2 linked regions of the Bombyx mori genome follow. The protein of the gene in region 2 purifies or fractionates together with the protein of the main gene of each other region. This does not show direct contact. Links are inferred from orthologs where the notes say so. Each region holds a gene or a part of one and is shown on either strand. Other genes may lie near its edges.

What was found. Proteins that work in one complex are often made in the same cells at the same time.
Region 1: the proteins of ribosome biogenesis protein BMS1 homolog (region 2) and probable RNA 3'-terminal phosphate cyclase-like protein purify together in Homo sapiens (co-immunoprecipitation; 4 studies listed by BioGRID and IntAct, with this or other methods). This does not show direct contact. The link is inferred for Bombyx mori from reciprocal best matches to the Homo sapiens genes BMS1 and RCL1.

Annotation. Positions count from the first base shown.
Region 1 is NC_085114.1:14,714,244-14,718,349, forward strand, and holds the start of probable RNA 3'-terminal phosphate cyclase-like protein, read right to left. Parts: upstream 2,851-4,106; 5' UTR 2,730-2,850; coding exon 2,438-2,729; intron 1,976-2,437; coding exon 1,790-1,975; intron 1,210-1,789; coding exon 1,040-1,209; intron 292-1,039; coding exon 157-291; intron 1-156. Other genes in the region: exosome complex exonuclease Rrp40, read left to right, coding at 3,309-4,019. UniProt on the Homo sapiens protein: As part of the small subunit (SSU) processome, it plays a role in 40S-ribosomal-subunit biogenesis in the early pre-rRNA processing steps at sites A0, A1 and A2 that are required for proper maturation of the 18S RNA.
Region 2 is NC_085129.1:15,212,225-15,216,312, forward strand, and holds the start of ribosome biogenesis protein BMS1 homolog, read right to left. Parts: upstream 2,853-4,088; 5' UTR 2,787-2,852; intron 601-2,786; coding exon of another isoform or gene 478-600; intron 1-477. Other genes in the region: protein Aster-B, read left to right, coding at 478-600. UniProt on the Homo sapiens protein: GTPase required for the synthesis of 40S ribosomal subunits and for processing of pre-ribosomal RNA (pre-rRNA) at sites A0, A1, and A2.

The sequences.
Region 1 (4,106 bases), on a different chromosome or scaffold from region 2:
TAAGTTCTAAGACCTCAGTATAGTTACAACAGCTGCCTACCCTTCAGACCGAAACGCATTACTGCTTCACGGCAGAAACAGGCAGGGCGGTGGTACCTACCTACGCGGACTCACAAGAGGTCCTACCACCAGTAAAACTTGACACTTGACACTTACTGCTTCAGCACAATAAAAGGTTTTCTCATCGGTTTCAGCAACAAGACTGACTCCAAAACCCGGACTCTTGCCAGCGTTCGACCCTCGACACTGGTCCGTGTTGATGTAGACATCCGGTAGAAAATTAAGCATCACCTGAAATATAAAGATTCTAAATGTAGTGACCCCTTTATAGAATTGCAGAGGAAGACACATAATGAATTCCTTAAATATGAGTTAGTAAATTCATTATAATTGGAGAAAATACATCACAGAATGGCCTACAACTGATGAAAGTCTATGAATGTAACATGTTATTCAAAAAAATCGGTTGTCTGTAAAATCGGTTTACTGATGATAGTTGAATGTGAGTGACAACATCATAAGAAAATACTGATGGAATGGTTTCATTTTTCAAAAGAAAATTTTAATTTTATTTGTTTGATAGATATTGTCGCTCGTTGCGCGCTCTCGCTTTCACTTCAAGCCTTAAATGGAACGTCTCAGAGCGAGGTAACGCCGCATGAGTCATGTTTTTAGTGCGTGCAGCCGGCTCCATCGAATTATATGACGTTGTCACGTAAAAAATTTGTTATCAACTTACTTTATAGTCTCATCCTTATATCTAAAAATATTGTAGTGTGTAAGCGGGCCCGTTGCCTATTAATGCGTTGCCTATTACTACCACTCAGTAATGCATTTACAGGTTCGATAGTTCTGATATTAGTTAATTGAAATCTAGCCCTTATGTATGTGTGGCAAAATTAGAGTTGTTAGGTATATAGGTCCATTAACCACTTGATACTACTTAAACTAATTAACCGATAAATAATATAATAGAAAAAAACACTAGTTAGGCTCATCTTCTTTGATCTTTTATAGTGGACAAAAACTATTTTCTCACCCCTTTAGCAGCTTCAACAACTCTGTTAGCCATCGTAGGAGACACCCTTAAAGCATACACTATTCCTCTTATTCTCTTCACAAGACCCCATTTGGTCCACTGTAGAGGTCGGAGATGACGTTTGACTGGACATTTAAAAACAACTTCGCCTCCCCCTAATGGTGGTGCTCCTGTAATATAGGTGACAAGTTATTGTAAATTTCTTTAAAGGAAATATCAGATATTAGCCTTTCTTTTTTTTTATAAACAAAATTGGCTCCAACGCCTTAGGCATTTTGCCAATGTCACAGTATAATATGCAAAAACGACGGCCGCTTAGAAAAAAAATACCTAAATACAAATTTTATCAGTTTTCTGCAAAATTCATTTTTTTATTAACCCACTTACATACATATTTTGTCATGTGTCATTTAAAAAAATAGCAGATAGTTAAGGTGGAGACACACAAAACATTAACATAATTAATTCCTTTAAACTCCTAATAAACAACATGAAAAAACACATTGTTTACTTTTGATTCATGAAAATTTTAACGTCAGTTATTTTTGAAAAATTTAATAATTTTGATGATTAAAATTCAATATTATAGACATTTTTAAGAGATTATCTAATCAAATTTACTTTTTGAGGAACTCATTGTTACTTTAGGGCACTGCATTAAAACTATATTTTCAAATCTCACTGGTGGATAGCAATGTTTCTAGAGGAAGTCATGTTACTTGTTAACAAATAACTTTGATCAAAACTAACCTCTTCTCACAATTTTCAGATCCAAGCCATCATCGACAAGAATAAATTTAAGGAGCACAGGTAGCGCTGCCGTCTTTATTTTGTCCACTGATACATCTAGGTCACTGTGGGTTACTCCTTGTAGGACTGCATTTAAAGGTTCCTTACAGAATGGTCCCAGGGCTAGTAGAACTTCAAGATAATAACCTAAAAAGGTTATTTTTTAATTTCAATTTGTCAGTCCGAGGATGAACATAACAGGAAGTATTTAAATGCTGAGTTAATGTTCAGACCATGGTATGGTTTGATTTAGTTTAGATAGTTACATCAGTCAAGCTGATGTCACTAAAACTACTTTCAAAAACAACCAAGGCGTCCTCACTCTGTCAAAACTTATTTTAGTATTTAAACTGGACTCTCCTAGACGGTTGCATGCCTGACAAAAGATTTATTATCCCATCCTATAGTATATATTAACAATATTTATTATGTCCATGCCTTGCTCCACTGAACTAGACTCTCCATGCTTTTAGCTATCAGGAGAATGTGTATGCTGAATTGTCTGAATTTCCAGCTGTAATCAAACTAATATATAATCTTCTAATTTAGAAAACTACATTCCTAATAACGTATTTGACGTGAGTAGAAACTTTATTGAAGACCACTTACCTATCCCTCTCTGGGTACAACAGTTGTGATTAACTTGTCCACCAATCAGTATACCAGGCTGGTAATATACTGAAGTACCGGTTTCGCTCAGCTCGACTCTAGTACCGTTCGTCACTTTATCCAGTAGCCGAATTAAACTGACTTCATATTCCCGAAGACCCGGGTCATCGTTGGTACTGCGAATGTCTTCTATTTTAATAGCACGCCCACTGAGAGTCGAAAGTAGCAATCTTTGACGAAAGTAATTGCTGCCCTTGTATTTTATTACGTCATTTTCAATTACTGCGGGCATTTTAATATAACTAATACTCCGAATTAGTTTTTCGGTGATATGTAAACAGCGAACATGTGCAAACCTCTAGGCACTGCGAGTTAGTCAACTGTCAAAAGTGTCAAAGTAATAGCAATAGTTGTATTTTTTCATCTAGAAAGGCAAAAGTATCAGACCATATACTATCTTTTAAATATTGTGGTATATTTCTATAGAAAATGATGTGGATGAATGAAATGAAGTGAAGTTAGTTTATTTGACTATGATTACGCAGCTTTCCTAGACATATTATGGTATTCTGTGATGGAACCTAAAGTCAGCATTATTTCAATGGATATCAGAATTACATACATGGGTACTGGTTTCGGCTCAACACATTTAATGTTATCATTACTTAATTTTATTTCCTTCGCCTAAATTTCATTTTTCATACAACAATTAAATGCATAAGATTTAACTGGTAGGTACCTATGCGCTATGTTTTCTTTGCCTATTGGATGGACCAATCAAATCAAATAAACATTGCTGTTTTAGAGGTTAGGGCTTTGTATTTATTTGTGTGTTCATTTATAATTCTCACTAAAATAGAACAAAAATATCATGAACGTTTCAATAGATGATGTAGTTTTACCTGGAGATCACTGTCCAGAGATCGTGGCGGCTGGCGAAAAAGGAAAAGTTCTACTAGGTCCTGGACTTCGCAAAGAAATTAACGGTGTTTTTATAACAAAACCAGGCGTATTACGGAAACGAACACCAAATACATACTGGGTGGACAATTATCAGAAGCGCTATGTGCCTTCTAGAGGTGAAAATGTGATCGGTACCGTGGTACAGAAAGCGGGCGATATTTTCCGTGTGGACGTCGGGGGGAGTTGTGCCGCATCGCTGTCATATCTGTCGTTCGAAGGAGCGACGAAGAAAAACCGTCCCGCAATCAAAACAGGCGATGTTGTGTACGCGAAAATGTTAAACGCAAGCAAAGATATGGAACCAGAGCTTGTGTGCGTTGATTCGCATGGAAAAAAAGGCCGACTAGGAGTATTAGAAGAAGGATTCGTATTCAAATGCTCTTTGAATTTAATCAGAAAAATATTAAACCCACATTGTCCATTATTGAACTCATTAAAGAACGAATGGCCATTTGAATTAGCAGCTGGCATGAATGGAAGGATTTGGATCAAAGCAAACACTATGAGAGAGACATTGGCTCTAGGAAACGCGATTTTGGGCTCAGAATATTTGAGTAACGATGAAATTAAAAGTATGTGTAAGAACATAGCAGTTTTACTCGCAGGTCATGTAAGCTAAAATAAATGAAAAACCTTATTAAAGAAATTTGTTTTCTTTTTAAGAAACTTAAATCATTTAGAAAATCTTCAATTAAGAAAATTTAAA
Region 2 (4,088 bases):
TGTCTTCAAGATGGTAACCCCAGTAACTTGAGGGCCTGAGAACCTGTAGCCCCTATGATGTTCTTCAATAGCAGATGTGATCAGATGTGTTCCCATTGCTGGCCATACATAGAGGGAAATTTATGATAGTTATTATAAAATAGTGTTCATGATGTACCTCATGACTATGATTGCACCAATAATTATTGTCATCACTCACCGATCGAAAAAGTAAAGCAAACTCATCATCAACATCACCTTGAAGAAAATTATAAATTGCTATCTATCCCAAGTTCTTGAGGACAAAAAGAAAATATTAATTAAAGGAAAGTGATGATTTATGTAGTTTCCCTTACTTACTTATTTATTAATAATGATAATTTAAAATTGGATATTTTTTGAAACTACACTACGTATGCCATCATGTAAATCATGTTATGATATCTCTGAGTTTTAGTAACCAAAATAGCTTCATTAATTATTTTTGTTGTAATTCAGGCGAAAATCTGTGGAAAACCTGGTTCTATCTTCACAAGATGCAATAGGGCAGAGTATCAGTCAAGCTCTGAACTTTTCTGGAGTGATATCGCAGCACACGTCCCAACTCATACAGGACAGCAAGTGAGTTTAATTATAATTATAAATTAATAAAGTTTACTCAAGGACACAACTAAGTCTCGGCACTAATAACGGGCTTAGTGAATTTTTACTATTGGGAAGCACTCTTATCAATGGAAAAATTAATCCTTTTATCAATGATGTATACTTTGTGTATTGATTGTTTGTATTACCGTCCGATGGTAGCACCATCTAGCTTTGTTAAAACGCGTAGCGCAATCAACATCGTTGTGGCTTAAAGGATAAGACGCCAGGTGCATCATTGTTGTTGTTGTTGTAGTCCTAGGGTACCCCGCTGGTATATAGGGCCCTCACAAGGCAATGACGCCCGGTGCATCATAGCCCACAAATTTTTTTCTACCGAATCTTATACCCTTGAGAGCCTATGTCAGCGTAACCTAGCAACTAGGTGAGCTCACGGGACTTAAACCTGACGACGTTGCTAACACTAACCCTAGCAAGTGCAGTGCTTCACAGAATCTACCACCGGATCGGAAACGCGAACCACCGAGATGATCCGGCAAGAAACTCAGTGAGCTGGGTCTGTGGGCTAATTTACTCGCTCAAGATTTTAACAACAGATCATGCGTCTCACAAATAAGATTCGATTAACATTCGCCAATCTACAGCGTAGTTTCCCAACGAAACATAACGCTCTTCTTTTTCTTAATATACTGTGCCTTAACAAACTTCAAATTATATATTACATTATACACACAATTATTTAACAGGTTCTACGGTATTCACAATTAATTACTTTCCGATATCATGTTCATATAAAGTCTAGAATCGTGATATATTTTACTTTAAATGAAATTCAACCTATTTATGTACATACAATTGTTTGCGAATTAGGTTCCAGCTGGACACCACCCTGTCTATTAATGTTAATGGATACAAGCGATTCTACCTCTCGCCTATCGAATAAGTAATGTTCATCTCCATAGTTTCATACCATATCACCTACATAAAGCATTTTACGTGCAATGTATTTAATTGCACACTTAATCAATTAAAACTGAGAAATGTGACAAAGGAACTCAAATAAAGAACCATGAATAGTGATGTGCAATAGCGAATCGGTTGATAATAGGTCCGATTGCATCGATATTTATGATTGGTTACTAAAATAGATAAACCTATCTAAAATAGATGACTTTTTATTTATTGCATAGATGGTGCACGATCTCACAGCTCACCTGGTGTTAAGTGGTTATCGGAGCCCATAGACATCTACAACGTAAACCCACCTTGAGATATGAGTTCAAAGGTCTCAGCATAGTTACAGCGGCTGCCCCACCCATCAAACCGAAACGCATTACTGCTTCACGGCAGAAATAGGCAGGATGGTGGTACCTACCCGTGCCGACTCACAACACGTCCTACCAAAAGTAAAGACTACAAATTGTTTTTTGCCTTTCATTATGATTGATCATTTGATTGGTCTTGAGCCATTTACCGTATCGTATGTACGGTACATGTTCTATACAAGTACGTGAGAAAATAAATAACAACGTGATTATGTATTAGAGTATAATATTTAAAAATGTTAATTGCGTTAATTTACAAGGTGTTTGAGATCCCTGATAAGGTTGATATAACATAACTTAATATTTAGGTTCTTAATTGACGAATCAACAATGTACAGCGTACGATAGCTCATTGGCTGATTCCGCCACTTCGATAAAGCGGCCCGACACGAGAACCCTCTCATCGTGGTCGCCGGAAACTACATTCCCGATCCTGCGGACAGAATGGAAAGCAGTCGACGTCGCCCAAAACACGTCATCTCGGATCCTCCCGATCCACTAACGGTGCTTCTAGGGACTTCAAGCACCGGTCACCGTTCTCGCCGAAACCGTCGCTTGCGACGAAGGGCTCGACGAGTAAACTCTCAGACACAGCCCACTGAGTTTCTCGCCGGATCTTCTCAGTGGGTCGCGTTTCCAATCCGGTGGTAGATTCTGCGAAGCACGGCTCTTGCTAGGGTTCGTGTTAGCAACGTCATCAAGTTTGAGCCCCGTGAGCTCACCTACTAGTTAGGATTACGCTGGAATAGCCTCTCAAGGCTACCAGCTTAGGTAGAAAAAAAAAAGGCTGATTACGAGATTCAGTTAATTCTTAATGTTTTCACTTATAGTTACTTATACTAGGCCAAAATGTACAATGTTTTATAGTAGAGCACTCACTCCATTAGACAGATACAACACGTCGCGTACGACTGGCCTCACTCGAACGTAATAAGTATTAAACAAAGGCAAGTTGATTTTCATTGTAAAAATCGTTCTTACGAAACTAGCTTTGTTACAGTTTCAAATAGCCAATTAAATTTAATAGAAGTCTGCTGCGCGATTGTAGCTATAAAGCAGATATGTGAACACTTTGCGCGCTCAATGAATAATTATAATATTTCGTGATTCCTAGAATTATATCAGATCAGCTCATGGCCCCTCTGATGTTAGATGACTACCGTCTGTATATGTCACAGCTTCAATGCCATATTTGTGTTTACTTTATTTCGACAAAATAAAGAAAACATTAAATCGAGATAATTTTTGTGCGTTTTTATTTTTGGAGTGATTTACCCTTGCAAAGCAAAGCCACCTTTGTTGTTCGAAGTTATATATGAGGTTATATAGTATGGGAGTGGTCTGAGGAAATGTTGGAGATGATACCATCACCTCGTTTTTACCATCGCATCGCCCGCCACCGGAGTAGAGCTCATCCATTCTACTTGGAGCCATTGAGTTCATCCACAGTGCGTTTTCAGAGATCTCTTTTGCCACGTACCATCCAGATTTGGAATGAGCTCCCCTCCACGGTGTTTCCCGAGTGCTATGAAATGTCCTTCTTCAAACGAGGTTTGTGGAGAGTATTTAACGGTAAGCAGCGTCTTAGCTCTGCCCCTGGCATTGCTGAAGTCCATGGGCGACGGTAACCACTCACCATCAGGTGGGCCAAGTGCTCGTCTGCCTATAAGGGCAATAAAAAAAAAAAAAAAACGTTGAAATCTAATCGCGACTTATGAATAATATTCCCAAATAAATTTAGATAAAAAAAATTATAATAAAAATTTGCCGACATCTCTATTATTAAAATCTTATCGAACATATTATCAATGTGGTATCAATAATTCAGTTAGTTGGCAAACGGTTTCTGTGGTCAACAGACATGACTCAAACGTGTAATTATCGGGTGCATTATTCACACGCGGAGGATACAGGAAAAGTAATTTTGAGGTAAATAAATTTACTTAAATTACCGGTTGTGGGACGCGTTATGAATTCGTTAGTGTTGGGATATTGTTATTGGGATTGTGAAGCGCTGCGATTTGATTATATCCGTATTGTTGGTAATTGTTGTCTGATACGTAACTGTTAACAATAAGAAAGTGCTTTATTGTTCTGTCTTAAAAGTCTCTTTGTTGGGATTTGCGATGATTTGTGATATTAATGATTACTATGTAGTTTAAGAATAAGTATGTTTTTTTT